Callithrix jacchus: one gene and its partner. The protein of the gene in region 1 interacts with the protein of each later gene in a biochemical or structural test. Links are inferred from orthologs where the notes say so. Each region holds a gene or a part of one and is shown on either strand. Other genes may lie near its edges.

Region 1 (8,134 bases):
GAGTGGTGGGAGGTCCAGGGGCCAGATCCAAGAGTCTTGGGGTGAAAGAACTGTGTAAAGAGTTGGTGGAGGTCTGGGTTGGGGCCCAGGGGATGAGGGTGAATTGAGATAGAGGGACTTCAGAGGATACCCAGAATGGCTGGCTTCACAGTGAAGAATGGGGAGGAGCAGAGCCCAGGTTTTCCATATGATCTCTCCCACTGAGGTTCAGAAAGGAGTAAAGGTGAGGGGTGAAAGGTCTGGGTTCACTCATTCACACCACAGACCTCTGAGAGCATCCAGTGTGTGCCAGGCCCTGCTGCAGGCACTGGAGGCACAGTGAGAAACAAGAGAAAGTGTCAGCCCTGGGGGACTTTCTTTCCTGGAGGAGTAGAACAAATACAGACAGCAACCAAATACATGATGTGCCAGCTACCCATACAGTTCTCCCTCTTGAGGTTGAGGGTGAAGGCCCATCCTCAGTGCCCACCCCTCACCCTGCCCTGCAGGTATTGCCTGACGTGCGGCTACTGCCTCGGAGGCTGCCCCTGGCCTTCCGGGATGCAACCTCAGCCCCACTGCGTAAGCTCTCTGTGGACCTCATCAAGACCTACAAGCACATCAATGAGGTGGGCAGGAGGTGGGGGATCCTGGGCTGGGTGCCGAGGGTCTTGGCTGCCGGCATGAGTCACTCACCAGTCCCTGTCTCCTGGCTGGCTGGCTGGGCAGGTATACTATGCGAAGAAGAAGCGGCGGGCCCAGCAGGCGCCACCCCAGGATTCCAGCACCAAGAAGGAGAAGAAGGTCCTGAACCATGGTTATGATGACGACAACCATGACTACATTGTGCGCAGTGGCGAGCGCTGGCTGGAGCGCTACGAGATTGACTCGCTCATTGGCAAAGGCTCCTTTGGCCAGGTGTGGGACACCCCCCTCCCACCCTGATCCTGGGCCCCACTAACGTCGACCACACACCCAAGGGTTCAGTGGCTTCAAGTCGTCCCATGCTGGGCCGCTCACCTGTGCCTCAGCTGCCTTTTCTGTAAAATAGTTCAAATAACAAGGTGCAACATAAGGTGGTTACGTTATTTCACGTCCAGTGTTTACACCAGTGCCTGACTAATGGTGCGCACTCAACTGTGAAGTATTCATAGTGTTACCAGTGTGTCTCCTTGCCTGGAGGGAGAAGAATGGTGCTTGGCTCTGTCCTGCCCCCACCCCTTCCTTTGTGACACGCCCTTCCCCAACAGGTGGTGAAAGCTTATGACCATCAGACCCAGGAACTCGTGGCTATCAAGATCATCAAGAACAAAAAGGCCTTTCTGAACCAGGCCCAGATTGAGCTGCGGCTGCTGGAGCTGATGAACCAGCATGACACGGAGATGAAGTACTACATAGGTGAGGCCTGGGCACCTGGGATAGCGGAAGCTGGAGCTGGTAGGGATGGGTCACCCTCCTGGCCCACCCTCAGGAGGAAGCTGGTGTCTTCAGAGCAGGGTTTGGTCTGTGCTTCACTGACATCAGTGATTCTCCTGCTGCTTTGATCATTGTTGTCCTATTTACTTGCTCATGATCAGAGGTTACTGAGTGCTCACCAAGGGCCAGGCTCTCTTAGAAGCACTTTATGTAAGTTAACTCACCACAGCCCATAAGGGGAAAGGCATTATTGCCCACATCTTGAAGGTAAGAAACCTGGGCTTCCATTCTAGTTCTTAAATTAAAAAAAAAAAAAAAAAATGGCAGGTGCAGTGCCTCATGCCTGTAATCCCAACACTTTGGGAGGCCAAGGTAGGAGGACCACGAGGTCAAGAGATCAAGAACATCCTGATCAACATGGTGGAACCCTGTCTCTACTAAAAATACAAAACCATTAGCTGGGCGTGGTGGTGTGCCCTTGTAGTCCCAGCTACTTGGGAGGCTGAGGCAGGGGAATTGCTTGAACCTGGGAGGTGGAAGTTGCAGTGAGCTGATATCACACCACTGCACTCCAGGCCTGGCGAAAGTGCGGGACTCTGTCTCAAAAAAAAAGTGAAGAAAGAAAAAAAGGAACCCAGGCATTCAAGTGCTATCACTTGCATGAGGTGGCAGTTTGTACTCATTGAGCTGTATGATTTAATGAGGCCGTGGACTCCAGAGCTGTTACTCTTAACATCTATCTATGCCAGTCTTTTCTCTTAAACTGATTTCCTCCTCGTGGACATAAACATCACATAGCATAATCATAAGCAGCAAGTAGATTTTAAAATTGTTTTGTTTGAAAGGAAAACATACATTCTTAAAGTAAATGGAAAACCAATCTCCTTTGCCACAAAAATGAATACAACCGAGATGAGAGCAGTGTTAGGAAACGAAACGAGGAAGTGTAGCGAAACTCTCTTTGGTAATTGGAAGGTTTCATAGAGACTTGGAAAGAGAACTAACTTCCTTTGTGAATCTAGTTGTTAGATAAAGAGATCGTGACTGGCAGATGGTACCCATGGGCACAGCACAATGTGGCTGGTCCTCTAAGAACATCATGTGACCCCAGGCCACCACCTGCCCTCTCTGAGCCGTTTCTTCTCTGTTGACCCATTTCCTCCCTTCCCTCACAGTGCACCTGAAGCGGCACTTCATGTTCCGGAACCACCTGTGCCTGGTGTTTGAGCTGCTGTCCTACAACCTGTACGACCTCCTGCGCAACACCCACTTCCGTGGCGTCTCGCTGAACCTAACTCGGAAGCTGGCGCAGCAGCTCTGTACGGCCCTGCTCTTTCTGGCCACGCCTGAGCTCAGCATCATTCATTGCGACCTCAAGCCTGAAAACATCTTGCTCTGCAACCCCAAGCGCAGTGCCATCAAGATCGTGGACTTTGGCAGCTCCTGCCAGCTTGGCCAGAGGGTATGGGTTGGCCCTGTCCTGGGGGCAGGGCTTGTGATTTGGGTGGGGCAGGGCCAGTGGGGAGGCTTAGGGGCGGGGCTAGGCTGGGATGGGATTATTAGGAGCTGCTGGAAGTAGGATAGTGCTTGGGGTGGGGGTGGGGGTATACTGCCAGCTACGATGGGAAGAGTGAAGCCTGAGGGGACAGGGCCCATTTTGAAGCTGCCAGATGTGAGCAGGGTGAAGTTGGGTTGGGTTAGAGCCAGGGGGGCTGCTTGGATAAGTTTTTGTATCCTGTGTTCTTAAAGCTGGGGATGGAGGTGGAAGGCTTCAACTTTGCAGCTCCATGTGAGCTGCTGATGAAAGGGCTTATGGAATGTCAGCCTTTGCCTGGTGATCCAGAAGGGCCCAGGGTCAGGGTTGGGGGTGGAGATCAAGGTCTGTCTAGGCCAGCAGACTCCCCAGGCTGGTAAAGAAGATTGGCTCCCAGAAAATTGGTGCTCACAATGGCAGGATTTGGAGCCTCAGTCCCCAGTTTGGCAGCAAGAGGCCTATCCTCTGTTGGGTCCTCAGCTTTGGGGATGTCAGTGGGACCAGTAAGGGAGGCTGGGACCCTTGACGATTGCCCTTTCCCCAGATCTACCAGTATATCCAGAGCCGCTTCTACCGCTCGCCTGAGGTGCTCCTGGGCACACCCTACGACCTGGCCATTGACATGTGGTCCCTGGGCTGCATCCTTGTGGAAATGCACACCGGAGAGCCCCTCTTCAGTGGCTCCAATGAGGTGTGCACCCAGGAAGGGGTGTGCTGGAGGTGGAGGGGGTGGAGCCTGGCCTGCCTGATGACTCTGACCCTTGCCTGTTCACAGGTGGACCAGATGAACCGCATTGTGGAAGTGCTGGGCATCCCGCCGGCCGCCATGCTGGACCAGGCGCCCAAGGCTCGCAAGTACTTTGAACGGCTGCCTGGGGGTGGCTGGACCCTACGAAGGACAAAAGAACTCAGGAAGGTGCGGCCCCTGCCCCATGCCACTTCCTCCCACCCCGCTGGCCCCTCACTCACACTTGGGGCTCTCTCCCCTGCTCCCTCTCCCTTGTGTCTTTCCCTTCCTTCCTCTCCCCTTTGTCTGTCCTTTCCTTCCTCCCCTGCCCACCCCATCTCCCCCTCTCCTTCCCACCCCACAGCTCTTCTTAGCTTCTCTCTTTCCACTTTCTCTCTTGTGCCTCTGTTTCCCCGTGTGTGTCTTCCTGCCCCTCCTGCCCACTGACGGCCACTCTCTTGCCCCCCCTCCCACCCCCTCCCTGCCAGGATTACCAGGGCCCCGGGACACGGCGGCTGCAGGAGGTGCTGGGCGTGCAGACGGGCGGGCCCGGGGGCCGGCGGGCGGGGGAGCCGGGCCACAGCCCCGCCGACTACCTCCGCTTCCAGGACCTGGTGCTGCGCATGCTGGAGTATGAGCCTGCCGCCCGCATCAGCCCACTCGGGGCTCTGCAGCACGGCTTCTTCCGCCGCACGGCCGACGAGGCCACCAACACGGGCCCGGCAGGCAGCAGTGCCTCCACCTCGCCCGCACCCCTCGACACCTGCCCCTCTTCCAGCACCGCCAGCTCCATCTCCAGTTCTGGTGGGTGCCCAGGTGCCCAAATGGGGTACAACAGGGGTAGGGGCTGCTCAGGTTTGGCCTGTCCTGGGTGACCTTGTTACTGGGCATTCACACAAGCTCTGAAGCTGCCTGATCCTAAACTCTAAGATGACATGTAGGGTGGGAGAGCTGTGACTGGTCCTGACATAATCTGAAATTGGGCTTGGGCTCGGGCTCAACCTTGAAACTGGTTTTGACTCTAAAACCCCAAACTGAATTCCAGCCCCAAATCTCAAAATCGGTCCTGGTTCTTCAAGTGGGCTCTGATCTCGAAGCCTAAACCTGAGCGTGGGCCCTGAGCTGTACTCAGTCATCCCAAAACCCACTCACTACCTTCCCTCACATTATGCCCCTTCCCCTCTCCTCCCTGGCACTTCCAGGAGGCTCCAGTGGCTCCTCCAGTGACAACCGGACCTACCGCTACAGCAACCGATATTGTGGGGGCCCTGGGCCCCCTATCACTGACTGTGAGATGAACAGTCCCCAGGTACTGGGGCTTTGAAGGTGGGCGATGGGGTACCTGGGGCTTAAGGACCCGGGTCTCCATCACCCATGGCTCCTTTGCTTTTTTAGGTCCCACCATCCCAGCCGCTGCGGCCCTGGGCAGGGGGTGATGTGCTACACAAGACGCATCAAGCCTCTGCCTCTGCCTCGTCACTGCCTGGGACTGGGGCCCAGTTACCCCCCCAGCCCCGATACCTTGGCCGTCCCCCATCACCAACCTCACCACCACCCCCGGAGCTGATGGATGTGAGCCTGGTGGGCGGCCCTGCTGACTGCTCCCCACCTCACCCAGCGCCTGCCCCCCAGCACCCGGCTGCCTCAGCCCTCCGGACTCGGATGACGGGAGGTCGTCCACCCCTCCCGCCTCCTGATGACCCTGCCACTCTAGGGCCTCACCTGGGCCTCCGTGGTGTACCCCAGAGCACGGCAGCCAGCTCATGACCCTGCCCCCTCCCTGGGGCCCCTCCTGAAGCCATACCCCCCCCCATCTGGGGGCCCTGGGCTCCCATCCTCATCTCTCTCCTTGACTGGAATTGCTGCTACCCAGCTGGGGTGGGTGAGGCCTGCACTGATTGGGGCCTGGGGCAGGGGGTCAAGGAGAGGGGTTTGGTCACTCCCTCCCCACTATGGACTGGACCCTTGGCCCCCTCTCCCCCTTTTTTTCTATTTATTGTACCAAAGACAGTGGTGGTCCGGTGGAGGGAAGACCCCCCCCTTACCCCAGGACCCTAGGAGGGGGTGGGGGCAGGTAGGGGGAGATGGCCTTGCTCCTCCTCGCTGTACTCCCAGTAAAGAGCTTTCTCACATGCCTGCCTGAGCGTTTGCAGGGCCTCGGCTTCCCTCACCCGATCCTCAGAGCCATGGTGGGGAAGGGGATTTGGGGAGGGGGTGCTGGAGGAGCTCTGTGGTGTGAAGACATCTCTTTGTGGGGAAGCTGTGGCTCTTGGGGCAGGCATGGGGCTGCAGGTCTGGGGCACCAGCATCTTAGATTGTGGTTAGGATCCTGGCCTACATTTGTCTTTTCCGGGGCAAACAGACGCTGAAAGGGTAACGGTTCAGCTCTGGCCTGTCTCTGGGAAACAGGTGCCCTAATAAGCCGGAGCTTCTGCAGACTCAGCACAGAAGTGGCTTTTCATGCCAAGCAGGCGTCCAGTAGCCTCTCAGTGCACTTAGCGGGCTTTGCTGGCGCTATCTGGGGAATAGGCAGACAATAGGTACAGGTTCTGCCCCCATATGCCTATGGTCCAACCGTTTGGAGTCACGGCGAAACAAAGCGTTTTGAGATCGGAAGCAAAAAGATTTTCCCGGGGTTTCAGGTAAGTGGTCCTGTTTCCGTGGTAATTTGGAGATGTACACCTCCCAACTGGCCAATCAAGAACTGTCCAGTTCAAAGGGTACCGTCTCTCACCACTTGGGCACGGTGCTTCATGGGAAATGGAGTTCTACGTAGCCATCGCTTTCTGGGTTTTTTGTCGTGGGGACTGCAACAACCAGAGTTCTTTTCACTCACACACTTGGGGCGGGTTTACAGGTGGCCAATGGGCGGTCTGAGGTAGCCGGGGCCCGGATGTTATGGTGTTTAGGAGGCGGAGGTCTTGAGGCGTGTGTAAGGTGGGCGCAGCACCGTACCAGGAGAGCGTGCAGGTTGTCTCTCATGGTTCCGGAGCAGGCGGTAGACGCCGAGGCCTGAATTGGCCCTAGCACGCGGACATCACTGGCCGCTGTGTCTGGTCCGGCTTGCGGGAGGCCCCACTCAGTGGAAGAGACAGGCAAGGATCCCGTTGCGGACCTCTGTATGTTCACTAATGGAGGCGCCGTAGAACACGGTGGGAACCCGAGGAGGCACTGGTAGGAGGATCATCCCCGAAGACTAGGAGCTGTCTGAGCTGAGACTGAAGACGGATGTTTTGGGCGTCGGGGGCGGTGTGGTGGAATGGTTTGTGCAAAGGCAGTGAGAAACAGACTGTTGTGTGAACACGGGCTGCAGGTGATCTGGTGTTGATGTGCATGCTGAAAATTCATATGAGATGTGGAAGTTTCTTGACCTTTTAGGGAGCTTGGATTTTGTCCTGAGGGCAATGAAGAGCCATAGGAGGATTTTTAGTTGGGAAGGACCACGGCCCGGTTCGTTGTGACATGAGAATAGATTAACGGGAAAATGACAGGTTCGGGAACCCAGGGTGGCAGCTTTGGCAGATTCCTAGGCAAGAGATGTTGGAAACGGATCAGGGCAGAGGCCACCGTAGGGAGGGCAAGAGGAGATAGGAGAGATGACGAGAAGGGTGACAGGCTGTTTGGGAGGGGGAGACAGAGGGATGGGAAAAGATATCTCGAGGTATCTCGAGCGCTTAGAGCAGATGCTCAGTAACTGATGTCTTGAATGAACAATCCTAGGAGTCAGGTGCTGATGTACTCTCCCATTCGTAAATGATACCTAGGATGGAAAAGATTAGGAAACTTGACCATTACCAATATCTAGGAAGAGGAGGGCTCAGGTGTGTGTGTGTGTGTGTGTGTGTGTGTGTGTGTGTATGTATGTGTGTATACCATTGACTTACTAAGGAGACATTAGCAGGGCCAGATCAGGTAAGTCTTGTGAGGAATTTGTAGGGAGGCATAGAAATGCATATGTCACATTTCTATATCCATCCAGAATCTCTCCTCTGAGCTCCTGACCGACGGCCTACTTGACACCTGTTGATAATCTAGTGGTATCTTCAGAATAATTTTGGTAGAATTGAGCTCCTGCTCCTTTCCCCAGAATTTATTCCCCCCATGTTCATCTCAATATGTTCCCTCCACCCTCTCCAGGCCCAAACCACTGCAGTTGTCCTGGACTCCTCTCTCTCTCTTTGATCCATGTCTGTCAGCAAATACCCAGAACCTGACCACTTCTCCCCACCTTCACCCTGTCCTCCCTTATCTCCTTCCCAGACCATGATGGCAGCCTCCTCAGTGACCTCCCTGCTCTTACCTGCCCCCAGAGTGTTTCTCACGTGCAGGTAGAGGGATGCTGTGAGCACCTGTATCAGGTCATATTCCTCACCTGCTCGGAACCCTTCTGAGGTTCCTCTCACTCAGGGTAAAAACCAGAGTCCTCTGCAAGGCTCTGCATTGTCTGCCCTCATCACGCCTCTGACATCATCTCTCCT
Region 2 (8,882 bases), on another chromosome or scaffold:
ACTGCAACCTCCATCTCCTAGGTTCAAACAATTCTCCTTCCTCAGCCTCCCAAGCAGCTGGGATTACAGGCGCCTGCCACCATGCCCGGCTAATTTTTGTATTTTTAGTAGAGACAGGATTTTGCCATGTTGGCCAGGCTGGTCTCAAACTCCTGACCTCAGGTGATCCACTCGCCTCAGCCTCCCAAAGTGCTGGGATTACAGGCATGAACTGCCATGCTTGGCTAATCCTATGACTGTTTTGCTCACTTTATGAATGGAGAGACAGGTCAGAGAGGCTGTCACTTGCCCAGGGTCACACAGCAGAACACGCACTGGAGCCCAGATGTGCCAGCCTCAAACCGGCAGGCAGAGCTCAACTTCTCAGAACCTTTGCCTTCATGCCCAGGAGAGGGTTCCTCTGAGCCTGGCCTGGAGGCTCATGGGTGACTATTTCTGCAGGGCGGAATGCATCCAGAGGGGGGTGTCCCCATCACAGGCACAGGGGCTGGGCTCCAACCTCGTCACAGAGGTACGTGTCTACAACTGGTTTGCCAACCGGCGCAAAGAAGAAGCCTTCCGGCACAAGCTGGCCATGGACACATATAGTGGGCCCCCACCAGGGCCAGGCCCGGGACCTGCGCTGCCTGCTCATAGCTCCCCTGGCCTGCCCCCACCCGCCCTCTCCCCCAGTAAGGTCCACGGTGAGTGGTATGTGGGAACAGGGGACGTGTGGGTAGGTGGGCGGGTTGGGGAGTGACAGCACTCACCTAAACCTCTTAGCACTTCTGCTGGGTTCCATTCCATTCCATTCCCGCCACTCCTTATCACTCCACTTCACTCTGTCCCTTCATCCCTTCTGCTCTATCTCCATTCCATTCACTCTACTCCTTTCCACTCTCTTCACTCCATCCCACTCCACTCCACCCACTACAATTAACCCCATTCCATTCACACCACTCTCCATTCACTCCATTCACTTCCACTCCATTCCATCTATACCATTCCCCACCGCTCTATTCACATACTCCATCCAACTTCATTCCACCAACTCTATCAACTCCACTCCATCCATTCCATCCAACTTCATTCCATCCACTAAATTAGCCCCATTCCATTCACTCTACTCCATTCAATTCCACTCCATTCCATCTACTCCATCGACTCCACTCCATCCATTCCATCCAACTTCATTCCATCAACTCCATTCAACACCACTCCATCCAGCACTCCATCCACTCCATACTCCACTGTCCACTCAACTCTATCCACTTCATTCAACTCCACTCCATCTACTACATTCAACTCTACTCTATTCACTCCATACTCTATTCCATCCACTCCATTTAGCGCGACTCCATCACTTCATTCAATGCCACTCCATCCACTCCACTCCACCCATTCCATCCACTCCACTCCACCCATTACATCCACTGCACTCCATCCAACTCCATTAGATTCCACTGCATCCACTCCACCCAACTGACTCCACCCACTCTACCCACTCTTCCTCCACTCCTCTCTACTCCATAACGGTTTATTCTAATTGTCCAACCACTCATCTCCATCCACTCCACTCCACATGACTCTACATTTCATCCATTCCACTCTACTCCATTCCCTCCACTCTATTCACATACTCCATCCATTCCACTCTACTCCATCCCCTCCACTCTACTCCATCCCCTCCACTCCACCCACTCACTCCACTCTACTCCATCCCCTCCACTCTATTCACAAACTCCATCCATTCCACTCTACTCCATCCCCTCCACTCCACCCACTCCATCCCCTCCACTCCACCCACTCACTCCACTCTACTCCATCCCTTCCACTCTATTCACAAACTCCATCCATTCCACTCTACTCCATCCCCTCCACTCCACCCACTCCATCCCCTCCACTCTACTCCATCCCCTCCACTCTATTCACAAACTCCATCCATTCCACTCTACTCCATCCCCTCCACTCCACCCACTCCATCCCCTCCACTCCACCCACTCACTCCACTCTACTCCGTCCCTTCCACTCTATTCACAAACTCCATCCATTCCACTCTACTCCATCCCCTCCATGCTAGCCACTCCATTCATTCCAGTCCACACCCCGCTATTCCTCACCATTCCATCCACTCTACCCTACACCATTCCACCTCACTCTATTCCTCCCCACCCATCCTCTCCACCCTTTACCACTCCAGTGGACCCATTCCACTTGATTCCCCTCATTCCATTCAGTTCCATCTATTGTACTCCACACCATCCACTCTACTTTTTATGATTCCACTCAATTCAGCCTAACTTGATTTGGGTTACTTCAATTCATTCATTTCAGATTGTATCAATTCATTTCAATTCAACTAAATTCAGTTAAATTCAGTTTAGTTGTCTTTTACGGAGCATCTACCGCATGTAGAGGCATAGCACCAGGCAGTGGGGGAGAATGGAGCTAATAAATGCAGTCTCAGCCTTCAAGGAACTGGGAGCAGCTGACCCAGGGCTTGGCACAAGGAAGAAGCACAGGCAGTTTGCTGGCTGCATACAGACAGACAGGCAGCTGGCCTAAGCACACCGATGCCGTTAGAAGTGAGGTGGGCTAGGGGGCAGGGGAGGGCCGGGAAGTGGGTGCGGGGGCTGGACACTGTTTCTCCTCCAGGTGTGCGCTATGGACAGCCTGCAACCAGTGAGACTGCAGAAGTGCCCTCAAGTAGCGGTGGTCCCTTAGTGACAGTGTCTACACCCCTGCACCAAGTGTCCCCCACGGGCCTGGAGCCCAGCCACAGCCTCCTGAGCACGGAAGCCAAGCTGGTGAGTGTCCCTGCCTGTAGGAAAAATCCAGCCTCATCTTTCCTTGGCAGGGAGATTCCCGAGCAGTCCCAAGGGAGGCCCTGTGGGGATGGGATGCTGCCCCAGCCCCCAACTCAGGTCAGCTTCCCCTTGTAGGTCTCGGCAACTGGGGGCCCACTCCCCCCTGTCAGCACCCTGACAGCACTGCACAGCTTGGAGCAGACATCCCCAGGCCTCAACCAGCAGCCCCAGAACCTCATCATGGCCTCACTTCCTGGGGTCATGACCATTGGGCCTGGTGAGCCCGCCTCCCTGGGTCCCACGTTCACCAACACAGGTGCCTCCACCCTGGTCATTGGTAAGCTGGTGGGGACGGGTGGGCACCTGGGTGGGAGGCTCATGGGGCAACTGCAGGATCCAGGAGCTGGAAGAGCCAGTGGGACTCATTCATTCATTCATTCAACATGTATCTACCCAGTGCCTACTCTGGACCAGGCACTGTACTACGTCAGTGATACCTGATTGAACCAAACAGACCAAAATCTCAGCAACTCAAGTGGGGAGGCAGGCAGAAGGCCTAATACATCAATTCTGTGGCTCCTCAGGTGAAGGGTCTATGCAAATTACAGCAGGGTAAGGGGACTGATTTTTTTTTTTAATATCGTTTAGCATTATGTTTTCCTCTTTTATCACAAATCCTCTGCAGGCTAGAGGATTTGTCTTTGAAGTTTTTTGTTTTATGAAGAAAAATTAGGCCCAGAAAGCCTTTATTTGCAGGTACAATTATGCAGAAGCCCAGAACATATAGATAGGGAGCTGCTGAGAGAGGGGAGCAGAGAGCTAACTCCAGGGCCTTGGCGCTCCAGGGAACCCCAGTTTGATGATTTTTGAACAAGTCACTGACTGCCTCTCCCACTAGCCGAGATAAGGAGCTAAAGGCTCAGACAGGGGGAATGACTTGCCAGGGCCACTTAAATTAGTGGCAGGTCCCAGTGGAGGGCTGTTTCCTGACCACCCTGCCCCCTCCTCCAACCCATGGGTTCTGGGAGGGAGAGGTGGTGCCCCTAGGAGGCCTAGGGGTGGGTGGGATATAACTGGGGGGCCTAGCTGATTCCCACTGCTTCCACTCCAGGCCTGGCCTCCACTCAGGCACAGAGTGTGCCAGTCATCAACAGCATGGGCAGCAGCCTGACCACCCTGCAGCCTGTCCAGTTCTCCCAGCCACTGCACCCCTCCTACCAGCAACCACTCATGCCACCCGTGCAGAGCCACATGACCCAGAGCCCCTTCATGGCCACCATGGCCCAGCTGCAGAACCCCCACGGTGAGCCCCCTGTACCCCACGCAGGGGGAAATGATGACAGAGGTTGGCTGTCAATGGATACAGGGGAAGGGGGTGCCTGGCAGGGATTGTGGTCCAAGTGTGTCTCTGGGACAAGTGTGTTTCTGTGATTGAGGGTGCCTGCAGGCCAGTGTGTTCCCATGTTCATGTGTGTATCTGTGTGTGTGTGTGCATGTCTGTGTGGGCACATCCCTATTGCGTGTCTGGGTGTTTATCAGCTATGCATGCCCATGTTTCTCTGAAATTCTTAGGGCCATATCGATTTCAGAATCTACTATTCAGATTTTAGAAAGGTAATGTGGGGCCATTGTGGTAACTCACGCCTGTAATCCCAGCACCTTGGGAGGCCAAAGCTGGTGGATCACTTGAGATCAGGAGTTTGAGACCAGCCTGGCCAACATGGTGAAACCCCATCTCTACTAAAAATACAAAAATTAATCAGGTGTGGAAGCACGTGCCTGTAGTCCCAACTACTCGGGAGGCTGAGGCAGGAGAATCACCTGAACCCGGGAGGCAGAGGTTGCAGTGAGCTGAGATTGCCCCACTGCACTCCAGCCTGGGCAACAGAGCAAGACTCTGTCTCCAAAATACAATAAAAAAAAAGGCTCACACCTGTAATCCCAACACTTTGGAAGGTGGATCAGCCTGGGCAACAGAGCAAGACTCTGTCAAAAAAAAAAAAAAAAAAAAAAAAAGGCCTCACGAAGGCTCACACCTGTAATCCCATCCAAGGAGGGCAGATCACCTGAGGTAAGGAGTTCAAGACCAGCCTGGCCAAGATGGTGAAACCCCGTCTCTACTCCAGCCTGGTAGTATAGGGCGAGACTCCATCTCAAAAAAAAAAAAAAATAGTAATTTGGTGACTATGCCAGCTATCACGTAACACTCCCAGCAGGGTTTGGGACAGACCCTGTGATCCAAGCGCTGCTATTTCTGCAGCCAAAGGCAGGATTTCCACAAAGCAGGTTCAATACACACATAACCTCATGTCAAGTTCAGGTTGGGTTTGCCACCAAATGAGCTCTAGTGCCAATCTTAAGGACATCTTTTGGTTTCAAAACCTTTTTGGAATTTGGAACTGGGTTAAGAGGTTTTGGACCTGTATATTTCTTTGTGTGTGCATGGTTGAGAGTGTATGTATTTAAGTGCATTATGTTTTTATCTGAGTCACTGTGAGAATATGTGGTTTATGTGTGTTTTGCTAGTGTCTGTGTGCCTCTTGTGGGGTCTGTGTGTCTCCTTTGGGGTGGGTGGGGGTGCTGTAGGCAAGATATGGGTTATATTTGGAGAGGTGGGCTGGGGATGGAGGTACTGCTGTCCTCTGCCTTGTTCTTTGACAGGGGCCACCTGCCTTTCTTCTAAACGACACCAGCATCTGCACTTAGTACATAGACCTTGTCTTTAGTGCATAGCACCTGTGTTTAGTATAGTAGCACCTGCGCTTAGTGCATAGCGCCTGTATTTAGTAGGGTAACACCTGTGCCTAGTACATAGCACCTGTGTTTAGTACAGTAGCACCTGTGCTTAGTACATAGCACCTGTGTTTAGTACAGTAGCACCTGCGCTTAGTGCATAGCACCTGTATTTAGTAGGGTAACATCTGTGCTTAGTACATAGTGCCTGCATTTAGTACAGTAGCACCTGCACCCACACCTCCCGTTCCCTTTCATACCTGCTGTCTCCAGGTGACAAGAGTAGCTGGAGTTGGTTCCTAACCGCCTCCAGGCTCCCTCGCATCAATCCCAGCTGAGCAGGCCCCTGTAATGGGGAGAGGGTCTGTCCCTCTATCTGGAGCCCCCAGTTTTGATAATCAGCCCTGAATCTCCAACCCAGACCCAGTCTGGCCGTTCAGCAAGGCCCCAAGCCCCTCTTTCCCCAGTCTTGAGGCCTGGGTCGGGGGCTGTCAGGGGCTGTCAGGCACGCCTGCCATGTCTGCCCCTCTCTCCCCTGCGGCCAGCCCTCTACAGCCACAAGCCCGAGGTAGCCCAGTACACGCACACGGGCCTGCTCCCGCAGACCATGCTCATCACCGACACCACCAACCTGAGCGCCCTGGCCAGCCTCACGCCCACCAAGCAGGTAAGGCCTAGTCTGCCGCTCTCCCTCGCCTGAGCCAGAGCCCTCACCGCCACACCCCAGGGGCTCAGGAGTCTGCTCTGCTCCCCCAGGTCTTCACCTCAGACACCGAGGCCTCCAGTGAGTCCGGGCTTCACACGCCAGCCTCTCAGGCTACCACCCTTCACGTCCCCAGCCAGGATCCTGCTGGCATTCAGCACCTGCAGCCCGCCCACCGGCTCAGCGCCAGCCCCACAAGTAAGAGGCCCTGGCCCCGCCCCATCCCTTGATGGCCCCGCCCCTTCCGTGTTGGTCCCGCCCCTTTCGTTGTCGTCCCCCGTCGCTGTGGGGCAGTGCATGCAGTAAGCCTAGGGCTTCGGCGAGGAAGCCCCCGCAGGCATGGGGGGTGGGGTGGGGTTCCCGCCTCCCAGACACGGCCTGTGCGCCCATGAAGCCCAAAATGCACGGCGACCCCAGGAAGATGGGCCCACCTCACAGGAACATCTCAGGGACTAAGTTGAGGAAAAAGGTGAAGTCATTGTTAGAGGCAGCGGCGGAGGATGATAAGGACCAGGTCTGTGAGCCAGAAGCAACTCTTTCACGCTTTTGGTTTGGCTTGGCTCAGGGTTGAACATTCTTTGAAATTTGTTGCCAACATTTCAAAATCGTGAATTTTCACATAGAAATCCGGATTTCCAGCATCTTTTGGAAAACTGGAAAAATTCATATTCCCACATAACAGCTCACCAGGCCCCACTACATCCACTCACATTGGCTCGGAGTTTGTAATCTATGATGTCATTGTCAGGAGTGGGCATTTGGAGTCAGGTGGCTGGCTCTGCACCTGCCTTTATGCCAAGTTGCCCCTTTCTCTAAGGTTCTTGGCCCCAACCCTGGCAGCCATCATGACAGCCACTGAAGGCATTCTGTGTCCTGGCTCCATGCTTCACCTCGGGAGGCGTGTGCACAATCACCCCCATTTTACCGATGAGAACATGGACACTTAAGGAGGGGAGGGACTTGCCTCGTCTCCCACAGCTACCAGACAGCAGGGCCAGGACTCGAACCCAGGTCCAACCTCAAAGCCCATTCTCTTAACCATTTCCATTAGTCAGGTTTCTCCAGAAACCCAGAACCAATAGACTGACTTGAAGGACTTGGCTGGAGACTGTGGGGACTGCCTAACCTGAAATCTGTTGCTGGGAACTTCCTCGAGAGAGAGTTCTGCAGCCTTGAGGCAGAATTCTTTCTTCTCTGGAAACCCATTTTTGCTCTTATGGCCTTCTGCTGATGGAGGAGGCCCACCCATATTTTCAGGGTAAACTCCTTTACCGCAAAGCCAACCGGTTGTGGCGTTAACCACATCTACAAAGCACCTGCATTCACAACAGCAGTTAGATGAGCGTTTGACTCAGCCTCACCAAGCCAACATGTTTACAGCTGCCTGCCCCGGCATCTCACTGGGGCTTCTCCAGCGTTCCCACTAAGGTGTACTGAGGCCACTCCCTGGGCAGCCCCAGAGCCTGGCTGGGAGGCTCCCCTTGTTAAGAACTGAGAGTAGAGGTTTGACTTTGGGGTTCCTGTTATCTGCTGTGATCCAGGAGGTGTGGCCCTGCCTCCTTGTCCCAAGTGTTCTGGGGCAGGAGGGGTGGGTCAGGGTGGCTGTGTGCGGCCAGCAGCCTCGTTTGCCTCCACAGTGTCCTCCAGCAGCCTGGTGCTGTACCAGAGCTCAGACTCCAGCAATGGCCACAGCCACCTGCTACCGTCCAACCACAGCGTCATCGAGACCTTCATCTCCACGCAGATGGCCTCTTCCTCCCAGTAACCACGGCACCTGGGCCCTGGAGCCTGTACTGCCTGACTGGGGGCAATGAGGGCAGCAGCCAGCCCTGCCTGGAGGACCTGAGCCAGCCGGGCTCCTGCTGCTCTTCCTGGAAAGCTGCGCCTCGCTCCCTGCTTTGCTGTGACGCATCAGAAAGGGAGGGCTCTGAGGCGCCCCAACCTGCAGAGGGCTGCTCGGGTTGCACACAAGGGGGCCATGGAGAGCGTGAGCAGAGTCTGTTCCTGGCAGATGGAAGGACTGTCCCTGCTGTTTGGGATATGAAGGGGGCAGCCTGTGACTTGGGCATCCCCAGCCTGGGCCTGTGGAGAGCCCTGGGACACCTACACCACTCTGGCAGCCACACTTCTCAGGACACAGGCTTGTGTAGCTGTGACGTGCTGAGCTCTGAGCGGTCCTGGGTCAGTGTGGCCTTGTTCTGTCACCTATGCACCCACAGGGCCACTCCCTCCCGCCCCCACTCCTTCCAGCTAGGGACACACATGCCCTTTGTACTGATCCCGTTATCTACTCACATAGGCATTTCCTGGGTGGCTACTCTGTGCCAGGGCATGGGGCTCCAATGCCCACGCCCAGGGGGGCTGAAGCTAACAGGGAAGGTAGGCAGGGTCTCCCAGCTTCCCTGGTCCCCAGCGATTCCCTCTCCCGGGCCCCAGGACCTCCATCTTTCCTGGCTATCAGTTCCCAAAAGCATCACACCCCCGAGGCCAACCCGGCCTCCTGCCTCTATGAGGAAGGCCGCTTCAGAGCTAGGAGGTCGTCCTTACTCCTGTGGGAGCCTTGTGACCCGTGCCAAGTCCAGGTCCTGTGGGGCAGACCCTGCCCTTGTCTGGGGAGAAGCTGCTGAGCTCAGAAGGTAGCAAAGCCCAAGCAGCTGGCC

Evidence for each region.
Region 2: of the proteins of DYRK1B (region 1) and HNF1A, one has a biochemical effect on the other in vitro, tested with the Homo sapiens proteins (2 studies listed by IntAct, with this or other methods). The link is inferred for Callithrix jacchus from reciprocal best matches to the Homo sapiens genes DYRK1B and HNF1A.

What each region holds. Positions count from the first base shown.
Region 1 is NC_133523.1:35,100,534-35,108,667, forward strand, and holds the end of DYRK1B (dual specificity tyrosine-phosphorylation-regulated kinase 1B), read left to right. Parts: intron 1-488; coding exon 489-608; intron 609-708; coding exon 709-897; intron 898-1,229; coding exon 1,230-1,377; intron 1,378-2,570; coding exon 2,571-2,857; intron 2,858-3,473; coding exon 3,474-3,620; intron 3,621-3,704; coding exon 3,705-3,845; intron 3,846-4,144; coding exon 4,145-4,460; intron 4,461-4,858; coding exon 4,859-4,965; intron 4,966-5,051; coding exon 5,052-5,423; 3' UTR 5,424-5,788; downstream 5,789-8,134.
Region 2 is NC_133510.1:124,132,719-124,141,600, forward strand, and holds part of HNF1A (hepatocyte nuclear factor 1-alpha), read left to right. Parts: intron 1-441; coding exon 442-683; intron 684-2,634; coding exon 2,635-2,786; intron 2,787-2,921; coding exon 2,922-3,123; intron 3,124-3,897; coding exon 3,898-4,089; intron 4,090-6,064; coding exon 6,065-6,186; intron 6,187-6,275; coding exon 6,276-6,420; intron 6,421-7,859; coding exon 7,860-7,987; 3' UTR 7,988-8,882. UniProt on the Homo sapiens protein: Transcriptional activator that regulates the tissue specific expression of multiple genes, especially in pancreatic islet cells and in liver. Binds to the inverted palindrome 5'-GTTAATNATTAAC-3'.